Linked DNA regions of Tamandua tetradactyla. The protein of the gene in region 1 binds, or shares a complex with, the protein of each later gene. Links are inferred from orthologs where the notes say so. Each region holds a gene or a part of one and is shown in the gene's direction. Other genes may lie near its edges.

Region 1 (8,095 bases):
CCATCTGAAGTACAAAATCACTGGCCGTGGATAACTGTACCCAATTATAGTATCGTCACTTAGTTGTGCATACAACCCCATGATCGAGTTTAGAACGCATTTATTCTAAAGCCTTTTTTTGTTTGTTTACATTCTTGGCTCATGAGCGGTTTAAAAGGATGCATGTATCCTAGAAATGCCATGTTTTAATCCTAATCCCATTTTGTAAAGGCAGCACAAATTCTAATCCCTATTCAATACTGTATGTTGGAAACTTTAATTAGCTTATCTCCATGAGGATGTGACTTAATCAAGAGTGGGTCTTAAACCTGATTAGGTGGAGACGTGTCTCCACCCATTCCAGGTGGGTCTTGATTGGTTTTACTGACCAAGAGATTCAGAGAGAACAGAGAAAAATGATATAGCCATGAGAAGCAGAGAGTCCACCAACCAGTGACCTTTGGAGATGAAGAAGGAAAACTCCTCCCAGGGAGCTTCGTGAAACAGGAAGCCAGGAGAGAAAGCTAGCAGATGACATCATGCTCGCCATGTACCCTTCCAGCTGAAGGGCTAGAAACCCTGTGTTCGCCATGTGCCTTCTCACTTGAAAGAGAAACCCTGAACTTCATTGGCCTTCTTGAACCAAAGTATCTTTCCCTGGATGCCTTTGATTGGACATTTCTATAGACTTGTTTTAATTGGGACATTTACTCAGCCTTAGAACTGTATGTAAACTAGCAACTTATTAAATTCCCTTTTTTAAAAAGCCATTCCATTTCTGGTATATTGCATTCTGGCAGCTAAAAAACTAGAACAGTTCATTTTTTTCTTAATCATTTCTGCAACTGAGTTTAGGTTTTTCAGCTTCTTTGGAGTCCTTCAGATTTAAAACCTTGATCTCTTCTTTGGACCAGCTAGTGTAAAATGCTACAACTAGCTGAGCCATCCTGAGCTCCCCTCTCCTTCATGCCCACAGCTGACACCTTCAGCTTATCCTAAGGGCATCCGGCATCCAGTTCCTCCTCACCATCTTTGAGCCATCCTCACACCCCCACCTCCACCCCACATCCAAGCCTCTGCCTTTCCTGGCTGCTAACATTATACCTGCCTGCTGACCAACCTCCTGGCTACCCCTTCCTGTCTCTCCCACAGTCCTGCCCCCCATCCAGCAGCCAGAGTGGTCCTTCCATAAATGTAAATCAGATCTTTTCACTTCATTCATTTATTCAACACACATGTATTGAGCATTGGCCATGTGCTGGGTCCTGGTCCAGGCACAGGAAATCCCGATAAGCAAACATTTAGTGTGTCAGACTGTCAGTGGTGCAAAGGAGGAAAGGAAAGCTGAAAATTGGAGCAGGGGTCAGGGAAGAGTGAGTCACGTGGATATCTGGGATAAGAGTTCCAGGCAGCAAGGACAGCAAGCCAAGGTCCTGTGGTGGCCGTGAAGGGCCAGTGTCTGAGGGCCGGCGAGTGGGCCACTGTGGCTGGGACAGGGTGAGGGAAGGAAGGGGTGCTCAGTAACGAGGCTGGAGAGGTAGAAGGGTGGGTGCTGCCAGATCAGGCTCTGTAAGTGCCCTGCGACCTTAGCGTCTATCTTGACTGAGATGAGAGACATAGCAGGATCTTTTCTTTTCCCCTTCTTTTTCAAATGCCGTTTTATTGAGATATATTCACATACCATATAATCATCCAAAGTATACAGTCAGTGGCTCACAGTATCATCATTTAGTTGTGCATACATCACCACAATCAATGTTGGGACATTCGCACTACTCCAAAAGTTAAAAATAAAAATAAATTAAGAACACCCAAAACATCCCACATTCCCAATCCTCCCTGTGCCAGTTTGAAAGGATTTATGTACCCTAGAAAAGCCATGTTTTAGTTCCAATCCATCTTGTGGGAGCAACGGTTTCTTCTAATCATGATTCAAAACTATAGGTTGGAAACTTGATTAGGTTATCTCCATGGAGACGTGACTCAATCAATTGTGTGTAGTAAACTTGATTAGCACTAGAATGAACTTCATTCATTTATTCAACACACACGTATCGAGCATTGGCCATGTGCTGGCTCCTGGTCCAGGCACAGGAGATCCTGATAAGAAAATGTTTAGTGTGTCAGACCGTCAGTGGTGCAAAGGGTCTTGCACCACTGACAGTTCTACATGGGTCTTGATTAGTTTACTGGAATCCTATAAAAGAGGAGACATTTTGGAGAGCGTTCCCTTTGAGAACAAGGAGAGAGCTGTAGAACCACGACGGGACGAGAGAACCCCAGAGTCCACCAGCCAGTGACCTTTGGAGATGAAGAAGGAAAACACCTCCCGGGGAGCTTCATGAAGCAAGAGGCCTGGAGGGAAAGCTAGCAGACGCCACCATGTTTGCCACTTGTCCTTCCAGCTGAGAGAGAGAGAAACCCTGAACTTCACCAGCCTTCTGGAACCAAGGTTATCTTTCCCAGGATGCCTTAGATTGGACATTTCTATAGACTTGTTTTAACTTGGACAATTTCACAGCCTTAGAACTATAAACTAGCAACTTATTAAATTTCCCTTTTAGAAAGCATTTCATTTCTGGTATATTGCATTCCAGCAGCAAGCAAACTAGGACATTCCCTATTACTTGTTTATTTTTTGTGTTTATTTTGTTACTCTCTTGCCCATACACTGGATAAAGAGAACGTTAGTCACAAGGTTTTTTACAATCATATGGTCACACTACAAATGTTATATAGTTATACAATCATCATCAAGAATCAAGGCTACTGGATTACAGTTCAACAGTTTGTTATTTCCTTTTAGTCATTCTAACACACCAGAAACTAAAAAGGAATTTCTATATAATGCATAAGAATAACCTCCAGACTGACCTCTCAATGTCCTTTGAAATCTCTTAGTCACTGAAGATTTTATTTGTCCCATCTCTTTTCCCCCTTTTGGTCATGGCAGTTTTGTCAGTCCCACGATACCAGGGCCAGGCTTAATCCTGGGAGTCATGTCCCATGATGCCAGGTAGAGGTACACCCCCAAGGGGGTTCTTGCTTAAAATCATGCTGAAGTAGGCACTGATGTGTTTAAAAGTGAACTGATTTTTAAAAAGAAATAACTACCCAAATCATGATAGTAATACATTAACGATTGAAGGTTTAAAAACACTGGCCTAGGATGAAAAGCACAGCAGGATCTTCAGCAGAGGAAGATGTGATCTGATTTAATGTTTTAATAGGTTCACTCTGGCTGCTGTGAGATTAGGCAGAAGGGAGTTAAGGCCAGATACAGGAGACCTGGCAGAGGATGAGAGGTGAGGGCCCAGGCTGGTGGCCACAGAGGTGGGAGACGAGTAGACAGGGTGTGCTGCTAGGCCTGGGCATCGAGTAAGAGAGAGTAGAGGAATCAGCAAGGATTTTTGCTCCTTAAATCCCCATAATGGTTTCCCATCACTCTTCAGATAAGTTCTTGACTCCTTTTCCCAGTCTGATATGTGTTGGCTGTAGTTGGCCTCTCCTACTATCCCATTTGCCTCCTGTCACCCCAAATCTCCTTCCATCTCACACCTCCTTCTGTCTGCCCTCCTCCCACACCCACCTCTAGCCTCTATCATGCTGGCCTTTTGCAGTTCCACCCAAAAATCCAGCAGCCAAGCTGGCCCCTGCTCCCAGGCCCTTGTTTCCTTTTCTCTGCCTGAACTACTCTCCCTGCAGAGCAGCTGCTCCTACAGTTGGCTCAAATATAGCCTCCTTGGAGAATAGAACCTTCCCCACTTCCCTCAGTATTCCCCCCAGACATGTCCAACACTCCCCACTTTCACATTGGTCTGTAATGGTGGTTTTTTAAAATTTTTATTTATTTGTTTGGTTTGCTTAGCTCTCTCACTAGGATATAAACCCAAGGAGGGCCAAGGTATTCTGCCTGACCACTAACCTTACAAAGTTGTCACAAACACATGAGGCCATGATACTGTATTATCCCTAACCTCCTCCGGGCTGTGCAAGGGGGTGTTATCACCATTTTATGAAGGGGAAAGAGGCCTGGAGAGTTTGCACTTGCCCAGGAGCTCAACAGCAGACCCGGAGTTTGAACTGGGACCAATGGGTTCCAGAGCCTCTCTGTCCCCCTTCCCCTCTCTCCCCAGCAAGGTTCTCCCTTCCCAGCTCCTCCTCCCGGGCGCAGCTTAATTCCATGGGGTGCACTGTGGGACCTCAGTGACCGCTTTTGGGTGAGTCAGAGGTGAGGGAACTCCTGAGGTCTGAGATATCAGGACTTGCAGGCTTGGCCAGCGTAGTATCCCCTGGAGAGCAGCTTTATTGTCAGTTCGTATGCCAGAATGAATGCAGCGAGCACAAAATTAGCGTAAAACTAAAACCTCAAGCCCACCCTCAGTCCCACCCTTACAGCTCATGCTTCTCTATACTGCACATCTGTCCCTGCCCTCACAACTCCTGGTCGCCATTCTCTGCCCTCCCAGGCGCCCTCAGAAGTGAGAACAGGTGTCAAGGGAGGCCTGGGCTGCGATGGGCCCCTGCAGGGGGCGGCTGCGGCTCCCTGGCATCCAGTCCTGTCACTGCCTTGCTGTGTGCCCTTGGGCAATCTCCCAGCCCCCGTGCCTCAGTTTCCCCATCTGTAAAAGGCGGGGGAGTCCTTGTAGCTCCACAGGTGGCACACCTGTTTCCAGAACTTGATCAGCCTGCCCGCCCCCGTGGAGTGAAAACCAGCACGGGACCCCAGCCCCGGGCAGGGGCTGCATTTGGCAGTTAGGGCCTCCGCTCCCCCCTCCCCGCTACACCTCCCCTCCCCCCCACCACGAGAATCGGGGCCACAGGGCGGGGGCCGCAGCGCCCGTCTCGCCGCCAGCCTGCCGGCTCCGGGGGGCGCCCGCGGGAGGGCGCGGCCGGCGCGGGGGGCGCGCGGAGGGGGGGGGCGGGCGGCGGGGGGCGGAGACGCGGCGCGGCTTCCGCTCCCGCGCGCCCTCCCCCCTCCTCTCCCCCCTCCTCCTCGTCCTGGTCGGCGGCGCCCGAGGGGGGGAGGCGGGAGGCGCCGGGAGCCGCGCGAGGAGCCGCCGCCGCCGCCGCCGCCGCGCCATGGAGCCCGAGTGAGCGCGGCGCGGGCCCGTCCGGCCGCCGGACAACATGGAGGCGGCGGCGCCCCGGCTGCTGCTGCTGCTGCTCGCGCTCTGCTGCAGCCTGGCTCCCGCCGCGGGTAGGTGGGCGCCGGCGGGGGCGGGGGCGGGCGGCGCGGGACCCGGGTCCGTGCCACCCCCCCCCGGGGGTTCCGGGCGGCCTCGCGGCCAAGTGCGCGGCGCCGCCGCGGAAGCGACTTTGCAAGTTGGGGACGAGTTGGGGCGCGCGGCGCGGGGGCTCCCCGTCGCTCCCCGCCGCTCCCCGCCGCCCGGGGGCCGCGCGCGGGCCCTTTGTCTCCCCGCCCGGGCCCTTCCCGGGGCCGACCCGGGGCCCACGAGCCGGGCGCGCGGGCGGCGCCGACCCCGCCAGGTGCGCGCGGGCGGGTCCTCACCTGCCCCGACGCGGGGCGCGGGCCCCGGGGCGCGCTCGGCAGGGCTCCCGGGGACGGGGCCGGGCAGTGGCCGCGGCCGCCCTTGGCCGGTGGCGGAGCCGGGGCCCGCAGGGCAGAGCGGAGCCTTTCGGCCCAGGGACAGGCCTGGCCGCCCTGGGTCGGGACTCTCCCTGCGAGCCTGCCTCCCCTGGCCGCGCGGCCGCCCTGCGAGCTCCGGGAGCCGCGAGAAAGTTGGGAGACCGGGCGCGGCGCGTCCTGTCCTGTTGCTCTGTCCCCTTTGTATCTGCCTGGCTGTCGTTCCCCAAAGACTGACACCTGCCAGGTGTCCCGGCCACCCGAGCCACCCATCCGGCCGCTGGGGCTGCAGACAGGGGCCTGGGCCGCAGCGGGGGACCCGTCGTGACCGGTGTCGTGGTCCCAGCGCATGGCTTTGTTGGGGCGTGTTGGGGGGGGAGGAAGTGTGCCTGTGACTCAGTTTCCACAGCCTTTGGGCAGTCGAGGGCTGTCGAACTTTCTCTCCAACTTTTTGGTGCGGCCGGAGGGGTGGAGTTGAGGTGAGGAGGACTCAGGGAACCAAGGCACCCTGTGAGGTGCCGCACATGTTTTTTGAGTTTGGAGATTGCCATGTGGTGCTCCTAGCAGGTCCCCTGCTACCTCTGTCCTTCTCTTCAGAGGTACGTGTTTTGGTTTTCTTGATTGAGGCTTGCCAGACTGGGCATGGGCCAGCCAGCACTGCGAGCATCCAGGGCCCCTCTTTTGGTGGCAGTTTCGGGGTGGGGGGGGGATGGGGCCCAGGTCCCTTTTGTCTGGGCTTCCTTAAAGCAAACAGCTGTCTCCTGAATATTTCCAGAGTGGACATTTGCAGGGAGGTTTCCTGGCTGGCTTTGTGGGTTGGATTCCTGACGCTGCAGCCCCTCCGTTGAGGTTTGAAAAGCACCCAGTAGTAAGGGAGAAAGCTCAGGGATCCCCGCTGCAGGTTCTCCTGGCTTATCAGCGCTTTCACCCCAAGTTTATCTCTCTCTGGAACGGAGCCAGTTTACATTTTTCAGCCATGTCTTCTACTCCTTGCAAAACAAGGTGAAGACAAAACAATGACAGAATCTGGATAATGCAGGCCGAAGCTGAGCCTTTTTTCCCGGAAATGCCTGGATTGTGAAGGCAAAAGGGGTTTGGGGGGAAGACGTTTGTTTTAAAGGGTTTTTTTTTTTTTTTAAAGCTGCCTCGGGTGCTCTTCACTTCATTGCAGTTTTGGATTTCCTGTTCCTTTCGGGGTGACCTTACTGGACACGAATGCCTGTTGCTCCGTATGACTCGAACCCCTAAAGAAAAGGAGCTCCACCTGTGGTGTTTAGTTGTGTCTGCTGCACAAAGAGGGTGGGTTATTTTAGTACTAGGAAGCATGTTCGTAAGAGGCATTTAGAGTCCCAGAATGTGATGGTCCCGTCCTAAAGTGAAAGGGGGAAAAAAAAAGAAGAAAGAGGTGAAATCCTTATGTAGAACTTTCTTGTCTGTCCTTGATATGTCATGTCCCTGATTTTCCACATTAGCTATATGGCTCCATCTGGGGTGAAGCCAGTAGATCAGTAGTTAATTATTTTTCCTGATTGCTTCCTGTTGCAATTTGAAGCTTGAGGCCACGGAAATACCTTTGTGCTAGGGTCCCCAGCTGAGTTGCCCCAGGCCTCTGGCCAGCCTTGCAGCAGGCCTTCTAGAATCTGCAGGTTCCTGCAGGCTGGTTCCTGCAGGTGCAGATGCTCCCTGATGGTCTGATACTCCCCAAGGGTCTGATGCTCCCTGAGGGTCTGCAGAGGTGGTATGTGTGTGTGCATGTGTGTGTGTGTGTGTGTGTGTGTGTGTGTGTGTGTGTGTGTCAAGCACATTGCCTGGCCCACTGTAAGGCCCCAGCAGACTTCAGTTAGATGCTGAGTGGGTCCTCTCTGAATTTTTCAAGCAGGACCCATAGGCCCTAACCCTCCCATTCCCAAATCCAAGGGATGACCCAGCCTACTCAGCATTCGTGAGTGCTTCCTTCTGAGGTCCCCCATCATTTGGGGAACTGATTTAATTTCAGCCGCACTGGCTCACTGCCCGGGCACCCAGCAGGGTGCACACACTGGAGCCAGAGGTGGAGGGCTGGCTGGGTGGGCTCTAACCAGGGCTGTGAGGATTTTGGGGTCAGACCAACCTGGGTTTACCTGCCAGGTGTGCTGCCGTGTGACCCTTTGGCTTGGGTGCACTCCTTAGCATCTTCGTGTCTTGGTGCTTTCTTGGACCCTCTTCTCTCTCAGGAAGCATTAAATGTTGGGCTCCCTTAGCACCACCCCAAGCCTGGGTGAAGAACTGGGGGTGTAGCAGGGGTCCTTGATCTTTCTGGCTTGAAAGACTGGGAGGCTGTTATTGCATAATCTGGAGTTTTCTTCATGACCTTGGTTATCCTGACTGCTGACTGATTCGTTTGTTCCATAACCGTTACCAGGCCGTCGCGGCCCACCGTGGCACTGGGCCACATGTCACCGGGTAGTTATCTGAACGGGCCAAGCACCAGGCTATGCTCCCAGCTCTGCCATTTGCCGGGTGGGGGAGCTCAGACAGCCGGCTCTGCCT
Region 2 (7,740 bases), on another chromosome or scaffold:
CTTCAGCCAGCTGATTACAGCTACGATCAACTAACGGTGTGTCTTCTGCAAGGAGGAAATCCAGTCAGTCGGATTTAATTCCATCAGTCGAAGACAGTTCAAGGGAGAAGACAGAATTTTCACTTCTTCTTCAGCCAACCACTTCTCCACTCTCCTGTGGAGTTTGTCGAGAAACTTCATCAGACTTGCCAGCCTTGCAGCCTGCCCTATGGATTTTGGACTCTTGCATCCCCACAGTTTGTGTGAGATACTTTTATAAATCTCATATTTACCGGTATCTCCCATTGGTTCTGTTTCTCTAGAGAACCCAGACTAAAACAATCCATACATATTATAAATAAAACAAGCACTAAACTGCTTGACATTTATTGCACATTAACTGTACCAAGAACTGTGTTCTGTGAATCAAAGGGGACAGTGTAGATATCAGGAGGTTTGGGGGTTGCTGTGTGAGTGTGTGTTTAATGTAGGTCATACTTAATTTATAACCTTGGACAAAGCACACTGGAAGGCTTCTTTGTCTGTCACCAGCCGCCCACCAGGTAGGAGGGTACGGGCCTTCACAGCCCCCCTGCGGCCCAGGCTGGCCACGTGGCAGGTGCAGCCCAACCAGGCATTAGGGGAAGTCAGCCCAGGGCCTTCTGGGAAAGTTTTCCCATCTAGCGGGAGGATAGCAGCCTCCAGGGAGGTCCCACACTCTTCCTCTCTTAGTTGCTGTCCCATGCAATGTGGTGATTCACTGTCTCAGGCCATGCAACCAAGGAGAAAGACAAGAGACTGACCGAGAAGCAGAAGCCAAAGCGGACAGGGAGCTCATTGAATCTCGTGGCCCTTCCTACTGCAGATTTTTTTTTAGTCATATGAGATTAATTAAGTGTCCTTGCACCTGAAAGCTCCCATACTAATGCACAATACATCCTTTGTCACACGAGTTTCAGCATCTGGTCAATAATCCAGTGTGAATATTTTTTTTAATCTATTCCTGATTTTGAAAACATATTTTAGGATAATTAGAAAGTGAAATAATGACAGCCAGTGCAGTTACCATTTTGGTAACTGCATGTAAAATGAGAACTCTGATTCCCATTTTAATTCTAGATATTGAAGCAAGACTCTAACTTCCCTTCCACCTATAGGGTGGTCAATCAAGACTCAATCCTTCCAAAGATGCATTTAAAAAGCCATGATATCCCAATATTGTCTGATAGAATTTGACATTCTCTAATAAAAAAATAATGCTTGAGTGTTTCCCTGAAAGAAAAAAAAGCTTTTATGAGAAATGATTAGTTATTTTTTATAACATTTGAGGAATTTCATTAGTTACTAAAGAACTCTCCATTTAATTTTTGTAACATATTATTTTATTGGTATATGATAGGCCCTCTCTTTTACAGAGATTTTTATATTGGGTTTTTAAACTAGAATTCACTAAAAATGAATTTCTTCAACTTGAGATGTACAGTATTAATGGCCTCCTATCATATTTGGTCCAGTGTTTTATAATACATTACCCTCCTCCAAAGTAGATTCTTGCTTTCAACTGTTTATATTATTATGTTTGTAGGCTACTTAGTAGCAAGACATCTGTTCAGAAATCCCTCTAGGAACCATCTTACATTATTTATGTCTATTAAAGCTATTTCCCCTCCCCTAAAAAACAGCTGCTTTACATACAAAAGAAAAATATCATTATTTAGCCCCCAATCTTAATAAATTATTCAGGCTCCTTTTAACTTGCCTATAATTGCCTTTTATACACTAATTGGCTTCATAAGTCTCTCTGTCCTGCTCTGAATGATGGCCAAGTGGTTATTTAATAGCAAATTTAGAATGCTATTTTTATATTTTCTGAATTAAAAGTAAATTTTCATGATTTATATGTAAATAGATTTAATCTCACAAATCAGTAAGATCCCCCAAATAGCTTATAGCATGATTTTTGAAAGTGCAGAACTTTTTTCCATTAATGTTTTCCTGCAGGCTTAATTTACTTACCAAATATTTTCCCATTCCACATCATCAAAGGTTTCATCTTGTCTCAAAATTAAAAAGCAAGAAAATTTTAAATGCCAATTAACAGCCAAAGTCAACTATTTTCAACTGTCGACATTTGTTTTTATCTAATTTTAGTACGTTTATAGGGTGTAATTCTAAACTTCAGTATTCTACATTTCCAGGCGTAAGAAAAGCAGTAGAAACTTTTCAACATCTGTGCTGTTTTTGGAAACTAGCACCTCCCATCTGTAGTCTGGGCAGTGCAGCGTCCAGGCTGGTTTTTTTTTTTTTTTTTTTTTTTTTTTTTTTGGCATGGGCAGGCTCCAGGAACACGAACCCGCGTCTCCAGCATGGCAGGCGAGAATGCTGCCACTGAGCCACCATTGCCCGCCCCAGGCTGGTGTTTGAAAGGATGCTTTGCCCTCACTTCTTTAGCTCAACTCAGAAATCTAACTCCGGGAATAACTTGTTACCCGGTAGCCGAATGTTCCCGAGACTGGCCTCTTTGAACAAGGTACCCACACAAAAGATAGGTGACTATCTAAATTCCTCATGCCACAAATGGGAATACAGTTGGGGCGGGGCGGGGGGGGGGCGGGAAAAAAAAGGTCGCGCGTTTGCATGAATCCATTTTCTTCTACTGAATCAGCTAAAATTTCACAAGCGTTTGAATTCTGATTCCTAAGGAGTTGAGTTTGTCCAAAACAAAAGTGGGAAGGAAGTGTTTTTTAGTATAAGAGGTTCAATTAATAATAAAATGAAGATGTTGAGGTATAGCTATATTCTGATCGTCTGGTGGATGGATATGCCTAGAATTCTTGGCGAAAAACACAGAACTTGCCAAAAAAAAAAGAGGGGGGGCGTTGCCTGTCTACTTAAAATGAGGTGCATAATTAGGTGGGAAAACCAAGCCAGAGAAAACAGGAGGAAACCGAGATTCCATTAGTTTAAGCAGCACACAAATGTTGCCAGTTATTTTTGTTTGTTTGTGACAAGAGTTTGTTTTAAACAGGTAAACGGCTAAGCACCACCAAACCCCCTCCACAAAACCTGAACTGGCCTCAAACACACCTTTAATAATTCTCGGTCCCTCCACCCTCCAGAACTCGTGTCCTCTAGCCCGACTAGCTCCTGGTATGAAATCTGACAAATAGCAAAAATTTAGAAACAGAAAGAGAGAGAAACAGAGAGACCGAGAGAGAAGGTATTTTGCCACCCTCCTGGCTAACCGAAATGCTTGTTCCCGAGATTACAGTAATTACAACCCCAGCGTGAGTTCCATACAAGCGCTAAATGAAACAGCACATCAATTAAAAATAAACACTCCATTCTAGGAGAAAGACAACCCCCTGGGACGTCCTAACAAGCGTAAATGAACCTGCCAGGCCGCCCGCCCCTCCGCACCCCGCACTCCCCCCGCAACCCATCTTAAGGTGGTTGGCGGAGTTGGCTGGGGCAGCGCTAATTGGAGGCGGCGTTAGTGGCAACTAAAAGCTGCTCTGTCGCGCTCCCGGCTCGGTGACAATCGCGGATACGTGTCCGCGGGTTCGCGTCTCGGCGCAGCCCCGCCTCGGAAGCGCCTTGAGTTGCCTGGGGCGGCAGAAAAGGAGGCTTGGGCAAAAACGACGAACTTTGGATTGGGCGCATGTACGTTCCCAAAGTAGGAGACCGAAGGAAAGAACCCAGTGGCAGAGTTTAATAGCCCGACCTATTTACACGTTTTCTTTTTGTTTTCTTTTTAGGAAGAAAAGGAATTATTTTTCATAAGAACAAAACATAACCTGGACGCTTTATGTGTTTTATCGACATCATGTGATTATCGGAATCTCCTCTGGGAGCAGTCCTATGGTTACCCCCATTTTACAGGAAACGAGACTGAGGTTCTGAAATGTTAATGCCTTCCCCAGGGTTTTGCGCACCCCGGAGGCAGACCCTGTGTCCCGCGCTGTGGGCCGCCCCTCGCGGTTGGGGTGCTGGTCACCTCCTCCGTCCAGCTCCACCAGGCAGAACGGACTGCGGTTGCTCAACTCCCCCCTTAGCCCCCGGCTCCAAAGACCAATTTCTGACACACACACCCCCAATGGGCTTCCCTTTCCAGATCCTCAAAGGCGCAGTCCCCAGGGCGCACCCCGCTGCCCCGAAGCCTCCGGGCACCACCCGCAGCGCGGCTTCTCGCCAACCCTGGCTCGGAGGAGGTAGGAACCCTGGCCCCCGACATGTCACCCCACACTTAGGGCAGGACCGAGGGGGACAGGATTGACTAGTTTGAAACTGGCCCGGGGAGGCGCGCGCTGCATCAAATCACCTCCTAGTCTCCAAAGTGCAGAATCGGGGAAAAGGGACCAAAAGCTCAGACACACCGAGCACCGTGTGGGGCGATCGTGACAACTCGGAGCCAAGGCCAGCCAGGGCGGGGCGCGGGCCCCCAGGGAGGCCGCTCTGAATGTCCGCTTCTCCGGTCAATCCCAAGGTTATCAAAACCAAGTCTCCGTCGCCAGAAAGCGCACATTTCAGGCCAGACAGTCCAGACGGCCTTAAGGAAGGTTTAGCCTTGGGAGCTCGTAGACCCCGCCCCCACCGCCCGACGATTGGCTGGCGGAGCCGGGGGCGGGGACCGAGTTCGCGCTGTATAAATATTCATGAGCCCGGCAGCTCGGCGCGAGCGGGGGCCGGAGACTGGGAAGTTGGGCAAAGGGCACTGCTCCCGCCGAGGAGGTGGCGGTGGCGGCGGCGGCGGCTGTGGTGGCGGCGGCTCGGGCGCAGGACTGCTCAGTTCAGGTGTCTTCGCTTCGCCTTCTTGTCTGGATTTGGGTTTTGGTTTTCCTGGCGAGAAGGGGACTGCCTGCAACTCGCCCGATTCCTGGCTGTAGTGCGGCGCGGACTTTTACCCGGAGGCGGGGATTCGTCTGTCCCGGCGTGCGGACAGACTGACGGACGCCGGGGAGAAGAAGGCAGCTGTCCGGGCGGACGCGGAGGCCCCGGCGGACCTCGAGGACCGGCGGGACGCGGCTGAAGAGCGGGCATGTGCCCCCTGGGGAGGAGAGGGGGCTGGAGCGGCTGACCCCGGGCGCGGGGAGTTGGCCTGGCTCAGCCATCTTGACTCCGCGTCGCGGGGGCCGGAGAGGAAACTTGCTGCCCCGCCACCTTCCGTGCTCTGCAAAGTCGCCGGCAGCCCGGGAGCCGTGGCGGAAAAGTGGCGGCGGCGCGGAGGGAGAGGGACAGAGCCAGCGCAGGAAGATGAGCCTGGAGCCAGCAAGTCTCCACGCGAGCTGAAGCCCGACCCAAATCAGCAGGGGGAAGACCCGAGGGGACTGTCGCGCTCACCCGCAGCTCACCCCCTCGTTTCCTCCGGACCGCTGCGCGAGCCGAGGAGGGGGAGCGCGGCGCGGCGCTAGGTCACCGGCTCCCCGGAGAGACCCGCCGGGCAGCGGAAGGGAGGCCTGGACTGATTCCTGCCAAGCCTTCCGGGAGAAGGGGCTCCGGTTTCGGGCTGCTCCCTTCCCAGGAGAGGCAGGGACGAGGCCACAAAACCCAGCGGCCGCGGACACCTCGGCCCCTTCCTCGCCCTTTTCTGGGCTCCGGGCTCTCCGGCGCCTCCTCCTCGCGCTTCCAGGCCGGGGTCCCGGGACGCGCGCCGCGTGGAAGGCCGAGGGTGCGGTGGCGCACGGGGCTGAGGCTCCCAGCATGGAGTGGAGTTACCTGTTGGAAGTGACCTCGCTGCTGGCCGCCTTCGCGCTGCTGCAGCGCTCGAGCGGCGCGGCGGCTGCCTCGGCCAAGGAGCTGGCGTGCCAGGAGATAACCGTGCCCCTGTGCAAGGGCATCGGCTACAACTACACCTACATGCCCAACCAGTTCAACCACGACACGCAGGACGAAGCGGGCCTGGAGGTGCACCAGTTCTGGCCGCTGGTGGAGATCCAGTGCTCGCCCGACCTCAAGTTCTTCCTGTGCAGCATGTACACGCCCATCTGCCTGGAAGACTACAAGAAGCCGCTGCCGCCCTGCCGCTCGGTGTGCGAGCGCGCCAAGGCCGGCTGCGCGCCTCTCATGCGCCAGTACGGCTTCGCCTGGCCCGACCGCATGCGCTGCGACCGGCTGCCGGAGCAGGGCAACCCGGACACACTGTGCATGGACTACAACCGCACCGACCTCACCACGGCCGCGCCCAGCCCGCCGCGCCGCCACCCGCCGCCGCCCCCGCCGCTGCCCGGCGAGCAGCCGCCTTCGGGCAGCGGCCACAGCCGCCCTCCAGGGGCCAGGCCCCCGCACCGCGGCGGCGGCAAGAGCGGCGGCGGGGACACGGCGGCGCCCCCAGCGCGCGGCGGCGGGAAGGCGCGGCCCTCTGGCGGCGGCGCGGCGCCCTGCGAGCCGGGCTGCCAGTGCCGCGCGCCCATGGTGAGCGTGGCCAGCGAGCGGCACCCGCTGTACAACCGCGTCAAGACGGGCCAGATCGCCAACTGCGCGCTGCCCTGCCACAACCCCTTCTTCAGCCAGGACGAGCGCGCCTTCACCGTCTTCTGGATCGGCCTGTGGTCGGTGCTCTGCTTCGTCTCCACTTTCGCCACCGTCTCCACCTTCCTCATCGACATGGAGCGCTTCAAGTACCCCGAGCGGCCCATCATCTTTCTCTCGGCCTGCTACCTCTTCGTGTCGGTCGGCTACCTGGTGCGCCTGGTGGCGGGCCACGAGAAGGTGGCGTGCAGCGGCGGCGCGCCCGGGCCGGGGGCGGCGGGGGCCGCGGGCAGTGCGGCGGCGGGCGCCGGGGCGGCGGGCGCGGGCGCGGGCGGCCCGGGAGGGCGCAGCGAGTACGAGGAGCTGGGCGCCGTGGAGCAGCACGTGCGCTACGAGACCACCGGCCCGGCGCTGTGCACCGTGGTCTTCCTGCTGGTCTACTTCTTCGGCATGGCCAGCTCCATCTGGTGGGTGATCCTGTCGCTCACGTGGTTCCTGGCGGCCGGCATGAAGTGGGGCAACGAGGCCATCGCCGGCTACTCGCAGTACTTCCACCTGGCCGCGTGGCTCGTGCCCAGCGTCAAGTCCATCGCCGTGCTGGCGCTCAGCTCGGTGGACGGCGACCCTGTGGCGGGCATCTGCTACGTGGGCAACCAGAGCCTCGACAACCTGCGCGGCTTCGTGCTGGCGCCCCTGGTCATCTACCTCTTCATCGGCACCATGTTCCTGCTGGCGGGCTTCGTGTCGCTCTTCCGCATCCGCTCGGTCATCAAGCAGCAGGGCGGCCCCACCAAGACGCACAAGCTGGAGAAGCTCATGATCCGCCTGGGCCTCTTCACCGTGCTCTACACCGTGCCCGCCGCCGTCGTGGTCGCCTGCCTCTTCTACGAGCAGCACAACCGCCCGCGCTGGGAGGCCACGCACAACTGCCCCTGCCTGCGGGACCTGCAGCCCGACCAGGCCCGCCGGCCCGACTACGCCGTCTTCATGCTCAAGTACTTCATGTGCCTGGTGGTGGGCATCACCTCGGGCGTGTGGGTCTGGTCCGGCAAGACGCTCGAGTCCTGGCGCGCCCTGTGCACACGCTGCTGCTGGGCCAGCAAGGGCGCCGCGGCGGGCGGGGGCTCGGGCTCCGCGACCGTGGGGGGAGCCGGCGGGGCTGGGGGTGGCGGCGCGGGGCCCGGCGGGGGCGGGGGTTCCCTCTACAGCGACGTCAGCACCGGCCTGACGTGGAGGTCTGGCACTGCCAGCTCCGTGTCTTACCCCAAGCAGATGCCATTGTCCCAGGTCTGA

What was found.
Region 2: LRP5 (region 1) and FZD8 share a complex: the UniProt entries of both Homo sapiens proteins name them as parts of the wnt-signaling complex. The link is inferred for Tamandua tetradactyla from reciprocal best matches to the Homo sapiens genes LRP5 and FZD8.

Annotation. Positions count from the first base shown.
Region 1 is NC_135335.1:6,236,158-6,244,252, reverse strand, and holds the start of LRP5 (low-density lipoprotein receptor-related protein 5), read left to right. Parts: upstream 1-5,063; 5' UTR 5,064-5,109; coding exon 5,110-5,179; intron 5,180-8,095. UniProt on the Homo sapiens protein: Acts as a coreceptor with members of the frizzled family of seven-transmembrane spanning receptors to transduce signal by Wnt proteins.
Region 2 is NC_135327.1:215,597,252-215,604,991, forward strand, and holds the start of FZD8 (frizzled-8), read left to right. Parts: upstream 1-4,666; 5' UTR 4,667-5,679; coding exon 5,680-7,740. UniProt on the Homo sapiens protein: Receptor for Wnt proteins. Component of the Wnt-Fzd-LRP5-LRP6 complex that triggers beta-catenin signaling through inducing aggregation of receptor-ligand complexes into ribosome-sized signalosomes.